2 linked regions of the Daphnia pulex genome follow. The protein of the gene in region 1 binds, or shares a complex with, the protein of each later gene. Links are inferred from orthologs where the notes say so. Each region holds a gene or a part of one and is shown on either strand. Other genes may lie near its edges. The genes, in order: nuclear factor NF-kappa-B p100 subunit-like and thioredoxin-2-like.

Evidence for each region.
Region 2: the proteins of nuclear factor NF-kappa-B p100 subunit-like (region 1) and thioredoxin-2-like are in contact, whole or in part, in an NMR structure (PDB 1MDI), measured with the Homo sapiens proteins. The link is inferred for Daphnia pulex from reciprocal best matches to the Homo sapiens genes NFKB1 and TXN. Residues at the interface, in NP_001158884.1 of Homo sapiens: Arg56, Phe57, Arg58, Tyr59, Val60, Cys61, Glu62, Gly63, Pro64; in NP_003320.2 of Homo sapiens: Thr30, Trp31, Cys32, Pro34, Met37, Ile38, Asp58, Val59, Asp60, Asp61, Gln63, Ala66, Ser67, Val71, Lys72, Pro75, Ser90, Gly91, Ala92.

What each region holds. Positions count from the first base shown.
Region 1 is NC_060019.1:3,340,556-3,344,490, reverse strand, and holds the start of nuclear factor NF-kappa-B p100 subunit-like, read left to right. Parts: upstream 1-1,003; 5' UTR 1,004-1,215; intron 1,216-1,312; exon of another isoform or gene 1,313-1,340; 5' UTR 1,341-1,341; coding exon 1,342-1,471; intron 1,472-1,539; coding exon 1,540-1,715; intron 1,716-2,146; coding exon 2,147-2,325; intron 2,326-2,397; coding exon 2,398-2,512; intron 2,513-2,606; coding exon 2,607-2,745; intron 2,746-3,705; coding exon 3,706-3,810; intron 3,811-3,877; coding exon 3,878-3,935.
Region 2 is NC_060019.1:1,507,858-1,511,251, reverse strand, and holds thioredoxin-2-like, read left to right. Parts: upstream 1-1,464; 5' UTR 1,465-1,583; coding exon 1,584-1,607; intron 1,608-1,789; coding exon 1,790-1,894; intron 1,895-1,961; coding exon 1,962-2,087; exon of another isoform or gene 2,088-2,144; coding exon 2,145-2,207; 3' UTR 2,208-2,763; downstream 2,764-3,394. Other genes in the region: E3 ubiquitin-protein ligase rnf8-B-like, read left to right, coding at 3,288-3,353. UniProt on the Homo sapiens protein: Participates in various redox reactions through the reversible oxidation of its active center dithiol to a disulfide and catalyzes dithiol-disulfide exchange reactions.

The sequences.
Region 1 (3,935 bases):
TGTACCTATATTTAAGTATTTCCCACTTATTGCCTGTACCGTTAGATGTGTTACTCAATTGGTCATCTTTTAATTTTTACTTCAAGCCCAAATACAATCTAGTCTATTTTATATTAAAATTATTCTTTAGTTGTTTACCCTTCTTACATGCTATCCCCGACAAGATTATGGCGGTCATTTTGATGATAAGCCTTAGAAGTGTACTGACCATAAATTCTTAATTCCCTAGCAAGAATCTAAAACTATTTAATTTAATTTATTAAAAACAAACGAGTTAAAAAAATTCAAAAGAGGTCAGACCCAGACCAAGTTGGAAACTCGAAAGCGAACGAGGGGTCTGATTATAAACACCTGTAAATAAATTTTGTTATAAAAGTAATTGTAGCCTATTTTAAAAATGAACGTTTTCAACGGTATTGTGCATGGAATATTCTAAATACCATACTATATTATTTTAAATATTGCAAAATTTGCGCACGTCATTGCTGTTTGCATATAATATTCGATAACATTTGATTTAATGAATGCACCAGCGACTTGCCATGCTAATCTTTGGTGTTGGAATCAAAGTCGAGATATGAAACGTAACATGTGCATACCACCGAAAGTTTGTTTATTACACATTTATGGACTGGGAAAGTGGACGTCTCTCGAGTGCAACATGAGGCAATGTATCCACAAATAAAGGGGAAAAACCCACCAGTTTTCGAAAACATAGCGTATGGAATTAGAATGTACATTTAAGAAGCGGAGAGTTATGGCGCTGTCCGCTGCGGCAGATTTTTTTTTGTGTTGTCAAATTCACATTTTTATTTATCCAAAGAAAAACTACGGCTTCATATGAAAGTTTAAAAAAATATTAAATATAAATTAGCTGAGAAATTAATTTTTTACTTTAAAGGTTTTTAACTTTTTACAATTTATAATTGTTTGTGTTTCAATTTTACGCCGACAGAGGTCTTAGGTTTTACAACTCCGACTATGGAATATAATCGAAAGTTTTGTTTATACACATGGGTTTTCCCCTTCTGTCATATCAATGAAGCTTCAGGCTAAAGATTGCGCGAGCAGTGCTAAATTTACTTATAAAACTTTGTAACTTTGTGAAAGGCTCCAGTTTGAACGGTCTTTGTTGAATATAACACGCAAATCGAAATGATTTTTAGCTAATTCGTTTGCGTTGAATTAATACGAGAATTCTTTCGTGTATTCAAGGTTAGTTCCGTTGTGTATCTTATGAACTGTGTTGACTGTTGATATACATTATATCATTTATATCTCTTTAACATATAATCAAATGTTATTTAATAAGTATGATTATTAAAATTAAAATTATGAAGAATGCATCAACCAATTGGTAGTAGTCCTTACTCACCTGAATCATCACATTCCTCAAGTTCTCCGATAAGCCACAGCTTCTCCAGTGGAAACTCTCCTATGATGTGTGCCTCACCAAACAGTGCCTACATGGGTAATCAGCAGTTTTTTAGAATGAATTTATGTTAAAATTGTGTAAAATATGGATTCATTTTATTACAGGAAATTCTCCCAGTTCAATTCCTATCAGACCAGGCAGGCTATCCCCATGTTTATCTATACTTAATCAACCACAAGGGAAGTTTCGTTTTCGTTATGCCTCTGAAATGACTGGAACACATGGATGTCTTATGGCAGAAAGCAAGGAACGGAACAAAAAAGAATATATTCGTGTTCAAGTATGTTTCACTTGCTAATGTAAATATTTACCAACTCATCCATAATTTCAAATCTGGAATCTTAAGTATTTAATTATAATTACTAGGTTGTAGTAAATTATATATGGGTTGAATTATCATTCAAAACTGTTGATCTTTAATCTCCACTTTATAACTCAGAAGTCAGAATACCTTAATTTAAAAAGAGAGGTAGGGGTTAACGCCAAGCGATTCCTGCTATTGCGTTTAATGTTATGCCGTTGTAAAACAGTGTACGATAATTCCACCTATAGAACTGTATTTCAACTTTTTCAGTTGACACTTATTTCTGTCACACATATTAGTTGTGTTAGAATTAGTCAGTTTTGTATTGGTATATTTTCATTTTGCCAATTATTCACAATTATTTAGAATTAATATTAATGCCAGTATTACTAAATGACTGTCTTTAGTTGGAAGGCTGTCAAGATCGAGAAGCTATTATTCGTTGTACATTAGTTACAAACAGTTCAAAACCTGTTCCACATGTCCATCGTCTTGGAGGGGAAGGAAACTCCAATGGGAACAATGGGAACGAAGGAGAATACCAAGAAATGATAGTCTCCGCTGGTAAAAACGAATGGACTGCAACGTATGTATAGGCTACTCAATAAAATTGTTAATAATAGTAATAATAAATTTTTTTAAATATTTTGTTTTAAAGTTTCTCCGGTTTAACAATTATACACACAGCGAAAAAACAAGTCCGTGAGGTGGTTGAAAGGCGTTTGATAAATGAACTGGGGAATGCACCCATGAATCGTAACCAAGGGCAACAGGTATGGAGTTTTCAATGATTATATTCTATTTTAAGTAGTCTTATTTGTTGTTGCATTAGTAAAGTTATTTAACATTCATCCCCGGTCATTATAGTTGAAGGACGAAGCAGACAAGATAGCCAATACAATGGATCTTCATTCGGTTAAACTAAAGTTTGAGGCCTTTGTGGAACAAAACGGTTTTCGTGAACAGATCTGCCCACCTCAATATTCCCAAGCTATTCACAATTTAAGTAAGTTTTAAAAGATATCTATAGTAGTGGAAAATGTTGCTAATTAAAACTACCGCGTTAAAGAAGCGTGAAAGGAAAACGGAAAATCTAATTCGTCGTCCTAAATTTCGTATTTTTTTATGCACGTACTGTAGTTTTTAATACTAGCTAAGTATATTAATGGAAAAACAACAATAACCGAGGAGTTTGAGCGTTATTCATTTTTATTCCATTTTCTATTAATTAACGGTGACCTCTCTTTTTTTTATTGTTTCGATTATTTCTCTCCACTTTCAGAAGCGTAAAAAATGACGCCTTCGAAATCCAAGTAGCAAAGTCATTTTTAAATAGTTAAACGTAGGAATCCACTCAAATCAATTTACATGTGAAACCTCATTTCGGATTGAGAATTTTTGTAAAAAAATCACATTGATTTGATTCAAGTAAAAAAAAATTAATTTAAATCGATTCGAATCAATTTATGTTAAGATCTTTATCCACAAAACATTTGTATGGTTAGTACAGACAAAATAAATTACTTTTTAATCATTTAAAGAATAAAAGCACAAAAATCGAAATTTAAAAGGTTTCCATAAAATTGTTATCCTGTCTGTGCTTCTTTAAACGATTATAAAGTATTTTGAATGACACACATTTTGATACTTTTACATATGATTTTATTTAAAAAAATTACGGAAATCAGCATTAATGTACACATAAAAAAATATCCGCAATAACTTCAATGAATATTCACCTTCAAATTTTCTATTAATTCAATTGACCCGCGAATTTGGATTTTGTCAATTTAAGTTAGACTTCATCTTAAGTTTCGAAAAACTCGAATTCGAATTTCGATTTATACGAGATTTGATTGGAAGTCCTAAACATGAAGTGGATGTTCAGTCTTTCTAAACGAAGTGGAATTTTACTAACGCAGCAATACTGTTCTAACCTAATCTTACCGTGTTTTTCAAAATCTAGAAAGCACTCATGCTGGAGACTTACGCATCGTCCGAATAGATAAGGTCTATAGTTGTTGTACGGGACAGGAAGAGATTTTCATCTTCGTGGAGAAAGTCAATAAAAGTAAAATAATTAGATTAATTTCATGCAACATTTTCCATCTAACATCCAATTCAAAATTTTATTACAGAGGACATCAAAATTCGTTTCTTCGAGACAGATGAAAACGAGCAAGAAATCTGGAGTGC
Region 2 (3,394 bases), about 1.8 Mb from region 1:
TCAAGAATAAGCCAATGGGGGGAGCCTATACTACTGTCCGACAATGTATGGGGTCATCATTAAATAAGAAGCAAATCACTTAATGAACGAGACGATGATTTTCTTTCTACTATTATTAACGGAGGAGCAGCCGAATCGAGAGCAATGGCGTAGGTGCCCACGCTGGCAAACACGTACACACACAACACAACAGCCATTGATGTGGCAAGGGTATAGGGAATGAGCACACACACACACAGAGTCAAGGCTCGTTGTTTAGACGGTGGGGTTGGTTAAAAAACTTAATTAAAACACGTTGAAAACACTGATCGAGTCGATGAAAATGAGCGAAACGGATGGAGGACTACCTTAGCGGCGCGGCACACGTGACCCTGCCCCCGAGAATTCCATCATTCGAAATAATATCCCTTTTTCTCTTTACACTAGCTCCGAGTAGTCGGTTGTAAGAAAAAAGTTAAAACCGCGACACATCCACAAGCCTTGGCTGGGCTGCTGCTGCTGCTGCCCAAGCTCCGCCCACTGTATAGCCCAACGGTTTCCCCCTAGTCTCGCCAGTCAGAACCTTTGGGGTTCTCTCCAACGAATTCACGGAGGGACTTTCTACAGACAATTTTCACCAGCACCAGCAGTACGGGGAGAAACGAATATGTTGACGTCACCAAGCCACCCCCCTCCAATGGACAACTGGACTCCACCCCCTCCTCTCTAGGCTTCTCGTTTCTCTGCTTCTCTCTCAGATGCCTCTTCGTTTAATGAGGTAACTTTTGCACCCACATCGTATACACACACACACGCAGCAACACGATTGTACACACCTAATACGATATACTGTTGCAATCAGCGAGAATTAATTACAAGCATTTTCTATACTAGTCACAATGCTTTCTTCGGGTGACGACGACGCCATTGACTGATTAATTTCGACTATCGGTTGCTAGATGGCATTGTGCGATTGTGGGCTCCCCCTATGTTTTTCTGATGACATTCTTTGGTTCATTTTTATTCATTTTTTTATTTAATCGCATCACTGTGGCTCTTTAATCAAAGCCGTGGGTTGTGATGAGGGGACCTTCCATTAATGTGCATCGTTCACGATTTACGTTTTACGTCAGCAACAAAATGTATGTTGGAAAAGGGGGCGGTACTAGAGGTTTTTACTCACTAGGTAGGTCACTACTCCATTCGTTGGCTATAATTTACTACAGAAAACTTTTAGACACCATGAAAAATTAAACGATTACTAAAAATAATGATCAACGCGTGAAAGATAAGTTTTCAAGTGCTCGTGAAATTGAATCTTTTCCTTGGGGACTGATGCTTCGCCACTAGATGGCAGACTATGAGATCCAACCAAACTTGATTTATTAAAGGCCCGAAGAATCAATTAGAACCCAAGCCTAAATGTTCTCATTTTTCCCACCAGTGGCGCTAGCAACAAACATAAGACACTTGTCCGATCTGTGCGTTAAATTCTGACTCGTCATTTTACGCTTGAGCCGGTCGTTTGCAAGTAGCTCGTCGAGGATCTTCACGTGACATTCGATTCCTGCTGTTCGTGTAAACTTTGGGATATATTAATCATCATGGTCTATCAAGTTAAGGACAAGGTACACATTTCAATCGACTCATGCTCTCGGTTTTTGTTACATCATCGTTTGAAAGGAGAGAAACGCCATCAATTTGACCTCCTTTTATCGTTGTTGCGTTATGCCAAATTACAAAACCAACAACAAACTCGTGGACGGTTCCTTTTCCGTGTTTGATATACTTTCTTTTTGAAAAATTCTAGCAAGACTTCAATAACCAGTTGAAGGAAGCAGGAGGAAAATTAGTTGTTGTGGACTTTTATGCCACTTGGTGTGGCCCCTGCAAGATGATTGCTCCAAAAATTGAGGTCACCAACTTAATATTCATAACTGTTTCAAAGTAGGTGTTTCATCAACTTTCAAATTCTACTGCAGGCAATGTCGAAAGAGATGCCCAATGTTGTTTTCGTTAAAGTTGATGTGGATGAATGTGAAGATGTTGCATCTGAGTACAACATTTCGTGCATGCCTACATTCCTCTACTTGAAGAATGGTGTAAAGGTGAGTCATCTCTAAAAATTTCATAATTACAGCTTTCTAACTGTCGTTTCATTATAGGTTGCTGAGTTTTCTGGAGCCAATGAAGACCAGCTTAGAAAACTGATTGATCAACATAAATAGATTTCCCAGTTATGTGGCCTGTATATTGGCTAGATGAATACTATGCTCTTTTATATTAAATAATTGTGTAATGGGATTTTCTGCATTATACCACAGGAAATACAGGCTGACAAAAAAATTGTTCTTTCATTGTTAGATACAAATTACACTATAAACTAAAAGCATTTTCACATTTTCCCAATTGATGTGAACTGCAGCGTTTTTCATACCATTAAGAAGCCATAGCAACGGGAACCCCGACTTCAACAACAGCAATAATTTAATGACATTGCCTAAACCTAAATCGATGAATGCGTTCGATAAAGCTTTAACTAACTATATTAATATTGATCAGTGTGTCGTCCCTCTCTCGCTTGTAATGAAATCCAGTTTTTACGGTTGGGTTCTTGATAACTATAAGGATTTCACGGTCAGATTTAAATCGCTCAGTAACACACACACAAAGAGCCGAAACAGCCGCTATATCCAATCGATAACATAATAATTGGATTTCGAGTAAAACGTGACTCTCTAGCAATCTTTATTACATCAGATCTGATTACGACGGCAGTTAATACATTGTAATGGAAAAATTAAGGCACCGAGAGGGTCTACAGAATTTCCTATAGAAAAATGAGCCTACGATCAGAAAGGGAACCCTAAAAATTATAACAAGATACAACTGCATTTTCTTCCTGTTAGCTACAGCGATCACAACGGAATGTAAATTTAGAGTGCTCTTTTCCGTTTTGGAGGACACTTTGTCTAGTTATAGCGGGAAATTACCAAATAGGATGGGAATTTTTATTGCGCCATCCATTTCGTTTAACTGCAACTAGAATCATAATCGAAAATTATTCGACCGAATATTAATGATATGCCAATTCGGAATCAACGACAAAATTTACAATAAATTACGATTTTATTGCTACAATAAATTGCGTAACTTTTCCCAATATTATCGGCACAAAAAAAAATTCCCAATTCGATCATCTCAATCGATACTTAATCCAAAAACATTTAGTTCGCAGAACATTTCTGCCACTGAGACTTCATTCGACATCGACGAGCTACTGATCAAGACGTACATCAAGCATCAAGATGGGAAAACAGACACGTGAACGTCAACTGAAACTCGAAGCCAGAATTGTGAAGCTGAAAAGTCGAGTAAGTACCGCAGTCCTATCATTAAATAATTAAAATTTATG